Bombyx mori: one gene and its partner. The protein of the gene in region 1 purifies or fractionates together with the protein of each later gene. This does not show direct contact. Links are inferred from orthologs where the notes say so. Each region holds a gene or a part of one and is shown on either strand. Other genes may lie near its edges.

Region 1 (3,500 bases):
TCGTATTTATAGTGAAAACCACAACTATAACTATAACTATAACTTGTATATATGCGCTTTATCTTGAAAATGTCGTAAGCGAGATTCAGGCATCTGTCAATTATCTTGCGTTGTATGATGGCTACCCGCCACATTGCGGCTTAACTATAATAGTTAGACATATGCTGTTGGGACACTTTTTGTGAATAATAATGTGTTCTACAAAGTCGTAGGACATTATTTTATTCTATCATCAATGGTTTTCGCAGGGCACGCGATGTAAAGAATATTTTAGGTAATTTTTTTACACCTTGGGTTACATTATTGGAGTTTTAGTAAGGATTCCTATTTTTTTTTCAAAAAGATTATAGCCTATGTCACTCGGTAATAGTGTAGCTTCCAAACAGTGAAAGAATTTTTGAAATCGGTTCAGTAGTTTCGGAGCCTATTCAATACAAACAAATAAACAAACAAACAAACAAACAAATCTTTCCTCTTTATAATATTATTATAATAGTATAGATTACAAACTTAAGCCTATGTGTTCGGTAACATGTCAATTACACAATAAGTCTGTTTAACCATTGACGTTCCAATACTATAAAAATGCAATTTTCTACAAACTGTTGAGTTGAATTTAAGTTTGGAATTGTCATGTTTATTAACGGTCCACTTCAGATCATCAAGCTCTGTAAATAGACAGTCCGAATGTTATTTTAAAACTTATATGTAAGATTGGTTTTTCTATGCACCCAGAGTCACCGCTACAGACCATTTTCTTATTCCATTACAGCATTAAAAGTTGTTTGTTACAGATTAAAGAATCTTAAAAGTATTAACTTTGGTGATTGCCTCCTGAAGAGCAGAGGAGCAAGAGCTTTGGCTAAAGCTTTCAAGGGAAACTCATTGCTATTAGAGGTACGTATGTATATATATTAAATTATATAACAATCATTTGCATTTCTCACACGTACCAGCTCTGCAATCACTATTTATCTTATTGCTTTTGTAAGCAGACGAGTATACAGCCCAATTGATGGTGACTGGTTACCGTCGCCCATGGACTTCAGCAATGCCAGGGGCAGAGCCAAGCCGCTGCCTATCGTTTAGGACCCTCTACAAACCTCGTTTGAAGAAGGACATGACAGAATGTTTTGGGAAACAGTGGAGGGGACTTCATTCCAAATTCAGATGGTACATGGTAGATAACATCCCTGGAAACACTGTTGACATAAGTTGTCGTGGCCTAAATGATAACACGTCCGGTGCATTCATATCGAGCGAAAAAAATTGGTACCTGCGGGATTCGAACCCTGGTTCAATATGAGTGCACCCGCCTTCTCTTATCCTGTAAGCCACGACGACTTCAACTGTTCTCTGCCTTTTTTTTATAAATAATTTGGCTTCAACGCCTTTGGCATTGATTTTGCCAATGTCAAAGTATTTACAAAAATGACAGGTGGTTAGAGAGAAAAAATTGCTAAATCTAAATGCAAATAAATTTGGTCGGTCTTTCCATACGCGAATCTGTGGTTTTAAGAGCAACTCAGACAAATATATGTTAAACTAACTACTTTTGAGATAAATATTATTAGCAGATAAAAATTTCTGTGCCTTTACTATAGTCTCTGGACCTCAGTCACAACGAGATCGGACGAGAGGCGTGCATGGAGCTGGTAGATGCCATCACTGAGCAGCCCGACAGCCAGGAAAGACTCAGCCGGATAGTTTTGGCAGGTCAGTATTATTTTCATCTCCGTACTAACCCATCTTGATGATTGGTATATGATCTGGCTGGTCATTGCTCAATTACTTTTACTGGTCCGTAGTCCGTACTGGATGGTTCCGCCAACCTGCCTATTTCTGCCGTGAAGCAGTAATACGTTTCGGTTTGCAGGGTGGGGCAGCCGTTGTAACTATACTGAGACATTAGAACTCATATCTCAAGGTGGGTGGCGCATTTACGTTGTAGATGTCTGTGGGCTCCAGTAACCACTTAACACCAGGAGGGTTATGAGCTCGTCCATCCATATAAGCAATAAAAATAAAAAACTTGATGCTTCGTGATATCTATAACATTCACATCTGTAAACTTGTCCGGCATCTACTGCCATAACGAAAGAGTCCTGATTTCTTTAACACACTACTAAGTAGTGACTACTTCATTAAGTACGATCTGTTTAGAACATTTTTAATTTTACAGGGAACAGCTTGGGCAATGCGGCCAACAAGAAGAGCCTGAAAGATAAGCTCGGTGCTTCAGCAGAGCTCAGCGATGGGGAGGGCAGCGATGATGAATGTAAGTTGTTTTTGTTTGGGTGGACCGGGTCATGGCTCATACCTCAGACTCTCAGACCTCATAAAATTTGTGACTCACAGCAACATAAATGATTGGCCTCACTCTGCGAAACATCGTGCCACATGGCGTCGCATCGCGAAATCATCGGTATCGCAGGATCCGACTGATGCATGACCACGACCACACTCACCAGAGTGTACGAATAGGAAGAAGAAGAGGTCATGGCTCATCTAGCACCACAGCCTGTTGACCTCACTAAAGTAACTGTCATTACCCACCTCGACATTTCAGTGTGAATGTGGCCTTCAAATACAATGAGGTCGTGGCTACATTTAGATAGTTTGCTTTATAACAAACTGTGATGACAGATGTGGACCGAAACCGGAGTAACCTGAATCGCGCCAACGACATTTCCAAGTTCACTTTACATAATAATATACAGATCGTCCCACAAACTGAATATATAGGGACTCTGTCAGAAAAGTCTCTTCGACGAAACAAAAATTGTTTCCAAGTGTTATTACTCAGTATAACCTATATATATAAAAATGAATTGCTGTTCGTTAGTCTCGCTAAAACTCGAGAACGGCTGAACCGATTTGGCTAATTTTGGTCTTGAATTATTTGTGGAAGTCCAGAGAAGGTTTAAAAGGTAGATAAATATGAAAATGCTCGGAATTAAATAAAAATAACAATTTTGTTTTCTCTTTGATGTGTTCCCCGTCGGACAGATTCCTTTGGTTTGTTTTAAGTTTATTTTATACAAAAGTTTAGGTCTTTTATTTATCGATTAAGGCAATACGAAGTCTCCCGGGTCAGCTAGTATAAATATAATTACTTACTAAGTAAGTAAGTACTACTAGTAAGGACTGTATCGGAACACAATGAACAAACTATTCTACTACCATCTCTTAAATCAGTGTTTCCCAACTTTTTTTTGCACCATGCCCCGCTGTAACATTTCTAAAATTTTTATGTCCCCCATACATCATTTTTAAACATTAAAAAATTGTTTTGTTTACTTTAGGAACATAAATGATAGGTTTTAAGAAAAAATCACTATGAAATGGTTATCAAAACACACTGTAAGTAGTATTTTAAAACATATAATAAAAAACTGAAATTCATAGTCAAAATAATTTTAATATACATTTTCTATATTTATTTAGTGCCCCCCTTATTTTATCAAATTACCTCCTTATGGGACGTGGGACACGCGTTG
Region 2 (4,121 bases), on another chromosome or scaffold:
CTCCCATAAAACCAATTTGGAACTGCCGAACGATTTTGTGAATCAAATTCAATTTCCGGCACGAGGTTTTGTGTATGAGTTCAAGAACGCAAACAACTTGTCCAAAGTAAATTTTTTTTCACTTTTTGAATTGACTATTAAATTTGACTGGTAAATAGAAGCGAATTCAAAGCTAAATAGATCTTTATCCTTAGACCTATATTCTTGTATTTTGAAATGTCTTATTTATGTATATCTTTACGAAGTTGCCGTTTTACAAGGCCATATTATTATGACACATCATGCATGCCTAGAAAAAAATTTAAATTCTAGCAATAAATCATAAATTCAAATTACCTAATCTTATTTATAAAATATGGAATTCTATTTTCAAATTCGGTCATTTGATTAGTGCTTTGTTTTCATCACATTCATGTTAATATAGGTATAGTAAAAATATATGTAATAATGGAATAAGAGTTCCATCGCGGCAACAATGCCGCACAAACAACCCACAACATTAATTATATATGTATGGAGTGAACACTTTGAGTAAGCCTTTCCGGAAATTTGATATAAAATACGAACGCCTAAATCTATACAATCATCAACGACGAATCAGAAGCGATCGTGGAAAATAACGACACTCAAGCTATCGTTGAATTAGCAACAGCTTTTAATGCTAGCATCAATACAATATAGGTTTATTTGCGTCAAATTGGGAAAGTAACAAAACTTGTTATGTAGTTGCTGTACCAATTGAACGATCGCCAACGCGACGAACGCATTAAAATATAAGTTGCGTATACAGTTGCTCGACAGACTCAGAAAGTAAGGGATTTTAAACCGCATTATTACTTGCCAAGAAAAAATTATTATTTTTAATAATTGTAAGCGGTCATCATGTTGATTATACCCTGGTTAAGCAATTAAGCAATGCCCTAAACAAAAACACATCCATAAAAGTCATGGTCAATATTTGATGGTCTAGTGCCGGTATCACACCTTCTGATCAAATGGCAACAGCATTACTGCAGATGTGTGACATGAGGAACTGGACAAAAGTTGAATGCTCGCATAAATAACTATTTGCTATTTGAGATTAATTATGGTAAATCCATTAGGACTTCTTGGAAAGCTTATCATTGTCATGATATATAACCAAATACTTGAAATTGAAAAACTTATTGTGGTTTATATGTGCCTTTTGGGGGAAATCGAGAGAAATTACACTTGATTAAATACCAAACACTTTTTTCTTGAAAAATCAGCTGCTAGCGACATCTTTACCAGATTTCGTGGGCCAGTGTCCTACACTATCACAATTGAAATAGAGTATAGATTAAAAATACCCTCTGCTGGCAACAATACTCAATAGCCAATATTTCATGAGTGTTCTTCCGTCGTCCGCCGGTTTCTATTTTTCAAAAAACAGGATTGAGTCAGTCTTTTGCAACATAAACTTAAGAATAGTGAAACAATGCACGCAGAAACAACATTAACGCTTATACAAATACTTGAGAAGACAGTTTCACCTGGTAAGTAATATGACTAACATCAACATGAACATGGATGGCGTTATAGAAAATAACGTACTTTTGCTACCTATAAACTATGCCATGATTCTGAAATTTATCCGGAAAAACTGTAGAATGGATAAAAAAATGGCATTTCTCAGCAAAAAGCATTTGAATTAAAACGAGACTGTAATTTTATCTAGTATCACCAACCGCAATGCTTACCTGTCATCCAGGAAACTTCTAGTTCAGCTTTCGAACCTCACGATGTCTGTGTTATTAACATTCAATGAAAAAGTGTGCTATAACTTTTGAATTCAATAGCTATTTTAATTCATTGTACATATAAAAAACAAAAAAATAAGTTTAAGGTTAGAAAATAGTGGATATTCTGTAGTATTAAATGAATAGGTAACGATTTTGTACATACATACCCTAATAAGAAAGAAACAATGTGCAACAGGGGCCGTATAAAATATATTTAAACAACATTATTTCAAAGTATAAAAATATTTATTAAGAAATTATAATAAAAGAAGTAGTGGTACTAAATAATCAATTGGTTTTGATGTTCCCTTGGCATGGATGACTTGGATTAGTGATCGTGACTACTCACCATTAGGTGGCCCATATTCTCGCCTGGTTTCAGTGGTAATAAAATACAAAAAAGACCTCACAAATTTGATTCTCTAACACCTTTTGTTTTCATGTGACATATCAGTATACAGACATAGTTAAATTTGGGGTACTTCACTTTGTAAATTATGTACTTAGATTATGGTTATTGCTTACAGATCGAAATGAATTGGAAGCAGCAGTTAGATACCTCGACCATGCTGCCACCACAAATTTCACAACATTCATCAAAATGTTGTCCGATGTCCTTCTCCAAGGTGGTAACAGTCAAGTGGCTAGGATGGCAGCTGGTTTGCAATTGAAAAATCATCTCACTTCTAAAGATCCTACACTTAAACAACAATATCAACAAAGATGGCTGGCTTTGGCAGAAGATGTTCGACTTTATATAAAAGAAAATGTAAGGCAATATTGCAAACAAGAAACAAGTGAAACATTGAAAAATTCACTAATAAGTTACTTAATAATAAAAATATATATAATATTATCTCTAAGCTAAATTGCTCAATTATTGTCTAAATAGCAATTCCCTGTATGTCTTACTTAGATTAAAATTAAAATTAGTAATAAATATAATTTAACACAACACTAATAAATACAAACACACAAGACATCTAAAACGTAATTACGCCACCCATCTTGAGATACAAGTTCTAAGGTCTCAGGTATAGTTATAGTATAGAGCTTGAACTAATGAAGGTGGAGAATCTGATAAGTTCCATCAGGTGTAGGTAACCAAGTTATATTTAATTTTAATACTAGTTTCTTTTTTAGATATTAGCTGCTATAGGAACAGAGAATAGTCGTCCAAGTTCAGCAGCACAGTGTGTGGCGTATGTGGCAGTAGCTGAGCTCCCAGTAGGACAATGGAATGATCTAATACCAATTCTTGTAGAAAATGTTGTTCATGTCCAATCTACTGAACTCAAAAAGGAAGCGACTTTGGAGGCTATTGGTAACTGAATGAACATTTGATAGTTAAAAGAGCTATGACAAATTATGTTATATAAATAAACAAAAAAAAAATTACAGTTTTAATTGTGCTTTATAACTAAAGGCAAATTGCTATTAATCTCTTTAACAATACTGATGTATTTCTTATTCTTCTAGGCTACATTTGTCAGGATATTGATGCTGAAGTATTAACAGAAAGAAGTAATCAAATTCTTACGGCCATCATACATGGCATGAGGTCAACTGAACCCAGTAATCATGTTCGACTAGCTGCTACTCAAGCTTTGCTCAACTCTCTAGAATTCACCAGAGCGAACTTTGAAAAAGAAAATGAAAGAAACTTTATTATGGAGGTTGTCTGTGAAGCCACACAGTCTAGTGACATGAGAATCAGCGTTGCTGCTTTGCAATGCTTAGTAAGTTTTATAAATATATAATGTGAATCCAAGTATTATATTTAAAATTAAAATAAAATACCACCTTAGCTACCACATTAGCTTTCTTCCCATGAAAGTAGAAAAAATTATATACCTCAGGAATATTACTTTTTTGTGGATAGTATCCTTTTATGTCCTTTTCTGTACTCTTGACAGCATTTATGTAAAATTTCATAATTAATGATTGATTAGTTAGATATGAAAGTGTATGAATTACAATTTATATTAATATTACATTTACTCAGTTATAAATTTATAATATTAACATGAATAACAAAGCTAAGACTTATTTTTTGGGATACCAGCTATTGACATGATTAAATTTAAACAATTACTGTATTAATTAATTTAAAAAATAGTTTTTAATCAAACAAAATTATCTTCAGGTGAAAATTTTATCACTTTATTATCAACATATGGAACCTTACATGGGACAAGCTCTATTCCCCATAACACTTGAGGCTATGAAATCTGATATTGATGAGATTTCATTACAAGGTATTGAATTCTGGTCCAATGTGAGCGATGAGGAAATAGATCTCGCAATTGAAGAAGCTGAAGCAGTTGAAGCAGGTATGAAAGTGATACTTCTATTCTC

Evidence for each region.
Region 2: the proteins of ran GTPase-activating protein 1 (region 1) and importin subunit beta-1 purify together in Homo sapiens (affinity purification with mass spectrometry; 3 studies listed by BioGRID and IntAct, with this or other methods). This does not show direct contact. The link is inferred for Bombyx mori from reciprocal best matches to the Homo sapiens genes RANGAP1 and KPNB1.

The regions. Positions count from the first base shown.
Region 1 is NC_085117.1:343,116-346,615, reverse strand, and holds part of ran GTPase-activating protein 1, read left to right. Parts: intron 1-794; coding exon 795-897; intron 898-1,604; coding exon 1,605-1,716; intron 1,717-2,182; coding exon 2,183-2,278; intron 2,279-3,500. UniProt on the Homo sapiens protein: GTPase activator for RAN. Converts cytoplasmic GTP-bound RAN to GDP-bound RAN, which is essential for RAN-mediated nuclear import and export. Mediates dissociation of cargo from nuclear export complexes containing XPO1, RAN and RANBP2 after nuclear export.
Region 2 is NC_085110.1:11,420,956-11,425,076, forward strand, and holds the start of importin subunit beta-1, read left to right. Parts: upstream 1-1,321; 5' UTR 1,322-1,459; coding exon 1,460-1,517; intron 1,518-2,290; coding exon 2,291-2,532; intron 2,533-2,906; coding exon 2,907-3,087; intron 3,088-3,242; coding exon 3,243-3,502; intron 3,503-3,909; coding exon 3,910-4,096; intron 4,097-4,121.